Sus scrofa: one gene and its partner. The protein of the gene in region 1 purifies or fractionates together with the protein of each later gene. This does not show direct contact. Links are inferred from orthologs where the notes say so. Each region holds a gene or a part of one and is shown on either strand. Other genes may lie near its edges. The genes, in order: FBXL15 and CUL1.

Evidence for each region.
Region 2: the proteins of FBXL15 (region 1) and CUL1 purify together in Homo sapiens (affinity purification with mass spectrometry; 9 studies listed by BioGRID and IntAct, counting the BioPlex papers as one, with this or other methods). This does not show direct contact. The link is inferred for Sus scrofa from reciprocal best matches to the Homo sapiens genes FBXL15 and CUL1.

Annotation. Positions count from the first base shown.
Region 1 is NC_010456.5:113,428,907-113,433,229, reverse strand, and holds the start of FBXL15 (F-box/LRR-repeat protein 15), read right to left. Parts: upstream 3,062-4,323; 5' UTR 2,912-3,061; coding exon 2,777-2,911; intron 1,000-2,776; coding exon 869-999; intron 696-868; coding exon 542-695; intron 210-541; coding exon 1-209. UniProt on the Homo sapiens protein: Substrate recognition component of a SCF (SKP1-CUL1-F-box protein) E3 ubiquitin-protein ligase complex which mediates the ubiquitination and subsequent proteasomal degradation of SMURF1, thereby acting as a positive regulator of the BMP signaling pathway.
Region 2 is NC_010451.4:109,468,365-109,472,174, forward strand, and holds part of CUL1 (cullin-1), read right to left. Parts: intron 1,535-3,810; coding exon 1,486-1,534; intron 1,117-1,485; coding exon 985-1,116; intron 1-984. UniProt on the Homo sapiens protein: Core component of multiple cullin-RING-based SCF (SKP1-CUL1-F-box protein) E3 ubiquitin-protein ligase complexes, which mediate the ubiquitination of proteins involved in cell cycle progression, signal transduction and transcription.

The DNA of each region.
Region 1 (4,323 bases):
CAGCCCTCGGCCAGCGCCCCCAACGCGCGGCGGCTCAGTTGCCCGCAACCGGCCAGCGCCACACTCCGCAGCTGCGGATTTCGAGCCAGCACGGGTACCAGATCCTCGTCGGACAGCCATTCGTGACACGGCGCCAGCGCCAGCTCCTGCAGCCCCTCGGCATCCCGCAGCAGCCAGGCCAATGCGGCCCGGGGGATCTGCGGACCCACCTGCGGGCGGGGAGGCATCTCGACTTTCAGATGGTCTCGTGGGCTGGCGCAGCCTATCCGCCCCTGAGTTCTTCCACGGCAGCAGGTCTCCCTCGGGCTTGCCACCTACCCTCCCAATAGAGACCCTACGCGCCCTCTAAGCTGATTCCCAGTACTTGCCCTCCTCGCTAGGTGGATCTCTTCCTGGGCATTCCCGGAGGCCCAAGGGGGGTCCAGAACGGAAGGCAGCGGGGCTGGGGGCGGGGGTTCAGGGGTAGGGGCAGGGGGTTGGGGGCTGGGCTGGAGGCGGGGCGGAGGCGGTACCCAGAAGGGGCGGGGCTCTGGCTCCTCACCTGAGCGGCGTCGAAACGGCGCAGCCCGGCCAGGTGCAGCTGCACTAGCGCCCGGAAAGCCCGGCTGACGCGCTGTAGTCGGAGCAGCTGGCGCAGCGGCACCCGGCTGAGGACGTGTGGGAGCAGCACATCTTCCCAGGGCAGGTCCAGGAGCCTGCGGGTAAAGGGGCGTTGGCGGCGGCGTCCCCGGGCCGCTGTTACCTGTGAATCCGCCTCCGTTATGCTTCTGAGCCCTGGCTCCTAAAGGTGATCCCCAGACCCGGCCTTGGTTCAGCTCCCCTCCCCCAGGTCCTTCTTCCTTCTCTCGGCCCCTCCGGTGCTCGGTACCTGACGGCTCCGGGCTCTTGCTCCCCTCCGGACGGCTCCATCGGTGGCTCCATCGGCTGTCTACTGCGCGTGCGCAGCAAGGTCTTCTTGCTTTGGCCTTGGAGAGGCCGCAGCGAACCCGCCTCCTTGGGCTGTAGAGACAGACCGATTCAATCGAGTGCCGGCTCACTGAGGATCCTGTTTGAAAGCGTTCCGGATGGATCCCGAAACTGAAGGCGGAACAGACTGGTGGTGTAACGTTAGACCTCGCCTTATCCGCTACAGGGCTTGAGACCCGAGGCTGAAGCACGCGATGGTGCAGCAGAGCTGGCTTCTTTTTTTGTTTTGGGCCAGTGGCCGCCTCTAAGTAAAGTGATGGGAGGAGCAGGCAGAGCCAAACGTAGAAGGGGCGGGGCCAGGACTCCAAGGTTCTGGGCCCTACATTCTCTGCCCTCTGGTCGCCTTTAGTGAGTTTGAAAAACGGAAAGAAACTATCCTGTCTCTGGCATGTAGTGAATGTCCAGTGAGTTGAATGAGCAAAGCTAGAATTTTCCTTCTTTCATCAAGCAAACTTGCCCAAACCTCCCATCCTGGCTAATTCTGAAGTACAGAGCTATCCAGCCCCTTCCACTCCTGAAAGATTTGGAATGGGTTTACACCTTGGGGAGAGAGATGTAGGAGGCAAGAAGGGCTATAGGGACTATATCTCCAGCTAGGTCTCTTTCCTTTACTCAAGAGGTCTAGAGTCCTGAGAACGAATGCTCAGTTCAGCCCGCCAGGAATGCTGCTCCTCTTAGTTGTAGGATCTGAGGCTGGACCCGCCTTGGGGCAGTGACCGCCCCAGAGCTCTGGGCTCAATCTCCGGGCCGCACTCTCACCGAGTCCCCAGATTCTAGTTCCAGGGTCCGCTCCAGGGAATTCCTGGACCAGTGCTTTCCCCATCATCCATTTGAGGGGAGGGTGTGAAGGACGCCGAGGGATACTACTCTCTCTCAGAGTTCTCCCACCCCTGCCCCCAGCAGGATTGCCCTCTCCCTTCGCGCAGCCCTTCACCTGTCCCTTTTTTTTTTTTTTTTGGGGTCTTTTTGCCATTTCTTGGGCCGCTCCCGCGGCATATGGAGGTTCCTAGGCTAGGGGTCTAAATGGAGCTGTAGCTGCCAGTCTACGCCAGAGCCACAGCAACGCGGGATCAACGCGGGATCCGAGCCGCCTCTGCAACCTACACCACAGCTCACGGCAATGCCGGATCGTTAACCCACTGAGCAAGGGCAGGGACCGAACCCGCAACCTCATGGTTCCTAGTCGGATTCGTTAACCACTGCGCCACGACGGGAACTCCCACCTGTCCCTTTATAACGAAAACTGCTTCCCATCCATTATCTCATAAGGACTTTGGGCGCCTGTGCAAGGTGGGCAGGTCTGTTCTATCATTCCACTTTAAAGATGAAATCGAGGTCCTGGAGAGGAAGCGCCTTGTCCGGGGCCAAGAGAGTCGAGAGAGAGAATTCTGGCATCCTGGTTTTCCCCGAATCCCTTTCACACTCCTCTACCCTCCCCCACCCCGCCCATCCACATGCTGCGAGAAGAGAGTAAACAGCAAAGGGAAAGGACAAAGGAGGGTCAGCTTAGGTAAAGGACTCGCTCTGTTTTCCTCCGACTGCCTGGGGAAGGGTGGCTGAAGGAACAAATCTTTGCTAAGATTGAGTCAAGTGAGCGCGCACCACCTAGGGCCGCGCGCCTCCTTCCCCTCCCCGCTTTGTTAGCGCTCCTGCGCCTGCGCAGTGCGACAAATCGGGCGCTGTCCCCTTCAGCACCACGCGGAGCCCGCGCCTCCCCTCCCCGCGGTGAGCCCCGCGCGCCCCCGCCTCGCACGTTCTCGCGCCCCTTGACCGCCCGAACAGACCCCTTTTTTCCTTCCAGGATCACCACCTGTCTGTCTTGGAGTTCGCAAGGAGAGCAGTTGCTATAGTAACTCTGGCGGTGCTTTCTTAAAATAGCTGGGCCGCTTCTACCTTGGCCAAGGGCACAAGGGTTGTTTCTCACTTCCTCTAGTCCAGGCGTCATTCCTTCTAATCTCTTACCCCTACACGGGCGGGATGCCTAACTCAGGCAGCAAGGAAGTTCTTTCTGAAGTCTGACTAACGTCCTTCCTGCTGCATCCCGGGCGAGTGGTCAGGTTGTCTCCTGGGTCCTAGACTCAGAACCTTCGGAGGTTTTGAGGCGGTGTTCCCTAGATCTTTCTTCCATAAGTTGATGGTCTTCTGGATTTAGGGGGCGGGTCCAGTCTACATCGTACGGTGTGCTGGCGCGGCCGCGTGCCCGTGGGGGCGGGAGCGCGTGTGGCATGTAACAGGTCATGTGGCAACCTCCTAGGGACACGCAATGGGGTCTTGAGCGGGACACGCGTGTGCAGCTGGGTCTGCGTGCTGTTCAGGGGGTGGTGGACAAGAGAGATGTGGACACCATTGGGGTTGGGCATGTGAGGATCTGGAGAAGAAACCGGAGGTTCCATACCACCTCCCCCTCGTCAGGGGCGGGTCTCAGGTTGGCGGGAGAGCCCAGCGGAGATCTAGCATCGTGAAGGAGGACAGTCTCCGGGGCTCAGGGCTCAGGGCCCCCGGGGAGAGGGCGGCGGGTGGGTGGGTGGGTGGGGGGATTAGCTCTGCCTGAGCCGCGCGTAGGGGGTAGGAGGAGGGACTGAGAGGCGGGCGGGCCTGGAGCAAGCAGGAGCAAGCAGGAGCCGTGCTGCCTTCACAGCTAGGCTGGGCCCAGCCTCTCCCCTGCCTCTCCTCGGCCCCAGCTCCAGGCGAGCAGCGGTGAGTACAACGCGGCTCGTCCAAGGCTGCACTGGGGGGCGCGCTGGGGCCTGATTGAGCTTCAGGAACCTGCCTGACAGAGTTGCTGCTCCTGACCTCTGCCCCTACCCTGCATTGACGCCAGAGGCCCCTTTACCCCTTTACCGTCCCTCCTGGTCTGGACAAAATCTGTCATTCCGACCCCGGGGACCGGGGGGAGTGAGGGGGAGAGAAAGGGAGAAGGGTCTGAGGCAGCCTTCCCCTCCATAGACTGGTGACTGTTGGGGTTAGGGGAGAGGGTCTATGTCCCTGCTTAAATATATGAGTGTGCATCTATATTTCTGTGTGATTGTGCCCAGTAGCTCTCTGTGAGTATCTGATATGCATGTGTCTCTGTGTGCCTTGGAGAAGGAGGGCTTGTGTGTATATTTGGGTATCTCTTTGTGTGTTCTTCTTTGATGACACTGTGTGTGTAAAACAAGCATGTGCCTTTCCATTACACACATATTTGTTATGACTGTGAGAGTATATGAGGGTGTGTCTTTGAGCAATGTGTGTGCTTGTGTCTGTGTGTGCTGGAGGGTGTTGCCTATGAATGTGTTTAACTGTGTACTGACATTATTTTGTCTTTACGTGTGTGTGCGTGTGGGCACCTGTATGGAGAACAAGAATGTCTCTTTC
Region 2 (3,810 bases), on another chromosome or scaffold:
CTCCAGGATTGGACTGGGAAGAGTGTCCTCACCAGACACTGAACTGCCTGGTACCTGGATCCTGGACTTCCCAGCAGCCTCCAGGACTCTATTCAATTCTCTTGTTAAGGAGTTCCCGTCGTGGCGCAGCGGTTAACGAATCCCACTAGGAACCATGAGGTTGCGGGTTCAGTCCCTGCCCCTGCTCAGTGGGTTGACGATCCGGCGTTGCCGTGAGCTGTGGTGTAGGTTGCAGACGCGGCTCGGATCCCGCGTTGCTGTGGCTCTGGCGTAGGCTGGTGGCTACAGCTCCGATTCAACCCCTAGCCTGGGAAACTCCATATGCCGAGGGAGCGGCCCAAGAAATAGCAAAAAGACAAAAACAAAATCAATTCTCTTGTTAAGCCACTCAAGCCTATGGTATTTTGGTATGGCAGCCCAAGCTGGTAAAGACAACCACGTAACTATAATTTCAGGTCACCAGCTATGATTGAAAAAATAAAAATCATCAAAAAAAAAAAAAATTCAGGTCAAAGTGAAATATGGTCCAGGTCACATAATAGCACCTGGCAGGCCAGGAAGCACTGACACAAATGCGGCCGAATGAAGAAATATGCAACAGCAAACTAACACTTAAAGTGTTCTGTCCTCCCGCAGACCCACCCAAGGCCAACAAAAAGCTGAGTCTGGGCTTCACCACTTGCAGCAATTCTTGGGGAGTGGAGACAGAGCTGAGGTCACGGGTGCAGGAGCTCGGAGAAGACACTTGGACGATGTGCCAGGCTCAGCTGGAGCAGGAGGGGCTCTATGCAGCAGGGGAAGGGTTGGCAGAGCATGTGAGGCCTGACCTGGGCTTGTCACAACACTGGCGGTGGGGTCCTTGTGGTGGAGGGCGGAGTTCTCACGGCACAGAATCCATGTCATCCATTGTCTACTCTGCCCAACTGACAACCCAGAACTTTAGTGACTTAAAACTGGCATTTTTCCGGAAAACATTACATTTACCTTTAACTTAGAGATCATGCTTGCTTCAGCATCATCGCTGGCGCTATTCTGATGGACAAGCCTCTTGGCCAGCATCTTTGCATAGAACTTCTGGAACACATCTTTGTCCTCTATGTACTTGAAGACCACCATCTAGAAAAGCCACACCAGAGCACACTTAACACACTTACAAAGACACTGTCACCAAACCCAGGCCAGAAACAAACATGTGTGCTCCGTTTTGTCCAGCCCTGTATGCCACGCTTACAATACTGCCCCATTATCTTTAAGGCAGGTATTTTCATCAATCCCTAAAATTACGTGAAGTCTAGACTGAATACAAATAAGGAAAGTACAAATGCCAAAATTAAGGACTTAATATAGGGAGTAAAATCATAGATTCAAAATAAAACGAATGCTTCTACTACTTTCCATATTCCATATGCCTCATTTAAATAACTGAAAAGCCACTTGTCAGAGAAAAGGCTACTTGCACATTGACGTGACCCTGGAGCTTCTTACCACTTGATTGAGTGTGTCTTCTAGCTCTGCTTCTTCTGGGTTCTTGGAACTGAAAAATTTTAAAAGGTATAGTGTTTTAAAATAAATCAGGAAACATTTATCAAACAAGCACCACTCAACCAAACCACATTAGAGTGTGGTTCTGAACATTCAAGTGGTTAGTTCTCAGATTAGCACGGGGAAGAGGGAAGGTTTAGGCTGTCCTACACTTTATCTCTCTTTCATAATCTGTTCTTCCACAGAATAATGTAGAATATCCACAATGGATCTCAATAGATGATACTTATTAAAAGCTTCCCCAAACATTCTGAATCAAGTTTTCCTTTAAGATAATCCATTTAAACATGCCTTTTACTTTTCTAATTGCTTTCTATATAATACGCTTTAACTTAACTTTGAAAAAATAAAAGGCCTTTTAATGGCCTAGTAATTAAAGATAAAAGAGTTTGTAAACTACCTCTAAAGTGTTGCCTTACATGTCATTACGTCCACAAAATAGATGGTTGTCCTTTTACAACTGCTTGATTCACTCTAGTCTATGAATAAATATTAACTGAAAGGTGATTGCAGGGTAAAAATTTAAAGCTTTTACTCCAAGAGACCTTAATAAACAAGACCCCTATAAAATCCATATAAAATGATCCAACCAGCAAACAAGCTCTAAAGACGTGATCCTACTTAAGAATAGTTGGCTCAGGAATTCCGGTTGTGGTTCAATGGGTTAAGAACCAGACTAGTATCCGTGAGGATTGTGGGTTTAATCCTTGGCCTTGCTCAGTGGGTTAAGGATCTGGCAATGTTGCAAGCTACAGCATAGGTTGTAGAAGCAGCTTGGATCCTAAGTTTCTATAGCTGTGGTATAGGCTGGCAGCCACAGCTTCAATTCAGCCCCTAGCCTAGGAACTTTCCATATGCTGTGGGTACAGCCCTGGGCGGAGGGGGGAAATACTTGGCTCAGGAAGCCCATTCTTCTCACTGATAGGTCAGGCCTGTGTCTCTTTCCTGGAAGAGTTTAACTTAAGTGTCCCTGGAGTCCAATCACTAACATACACTTGTTAAAACAGCACTCAGAACTATCCACCATTCTGCCTGCTTTAGCAGCCTTAACTAAAGAATAATATACACCAGGAGACTTGATGAGGACCATTTATGAAAAGACAAAAAGTCAAACAAACTGAAGCCCTACAAGAGTATCTACACATTTAAAATATTGAAAATTTTCATTTTACTGAGCCTAAAAAATAAAAGGTCACAAGAGGCATTCCAATTTAAAGTCCATTTTCACTCCTGAAATGAATACATTAGAGAATCTGACTAGAACTGCTAAATTATACATTAGATAAGCACTGCAATAGGGAGGAAAAAAATCAAATACTCAATTTGCACCAGGCCTTGGGCAAATGGCTTCCTGACAAAGTTAAAAGAGATGGCTATTGGAGTACTCAGTGGCTCAGTGGTGAATCAACCTGACTACGACCCATGAGGATGCGGGTTTGATCCCTGGCCTCACTCAGCGGGTTAAGAACCCAGCATTGCCGTGAGCTGTGGTGTAGGTCACAGACTCGGCTCAGATCCCACATTGCTGTGGCTGTGGTGTAGGCCAGCAGCTGTAGCTCTGATTCGGCCCTCAGCCTGGGAACTTCCAGATGCCGTGGGTGCAGCTCTTAAAAAAAAATAAAAAAGGAGATGGCTATTAACCTTATTAAATATTTTCCCATGTCAATCAAGAAGACCACATTGTTGTTCATATAGCTCTGTTGTTAAAGTCAATTATATTCCATCTGCTACTACTGAGCCATCCTTGCATTCATTCCTAGAAAGCTGTCCTACATTCTGAACAATTATTCTTTGGTTCACTGATAAATTTAGTTTGCTAATATTTTACTTAAGATTCCCCACATCTCTATTTCTAAGTGAGACTTGTTTGTAGTCTTTCTCTTGGTAGTGTAGTTATTCTCAGTCTTTTTCATAATGGGATTATATGAGCCTTAGAGAGCTCCTTAAAATTTTTTAATATCAAACCCCTCTAACTGGGGGCATGGAAAACTACTGCAACATGTGTTGATGTGATATCTGGATCACTAAAATAAGCCTGGAGCATTTCTAAACTGAAAGCTAGTTCAGTGAAAGAGAAGCTGGGGCAAACCAAAACCCACACAAAAATTATTGAGAACTTCAAAAAACACAACGCAGAGAATCAGATTATGGTGCCTCTAGTGATCAATACACATACAGTGATTAGGGAAATATCAGTTGAGAAATAAGATGCTCAAAATATACAGACTATGAAAAAGCAGTACTAAATCAAAGTCATTAAAGGAAGAT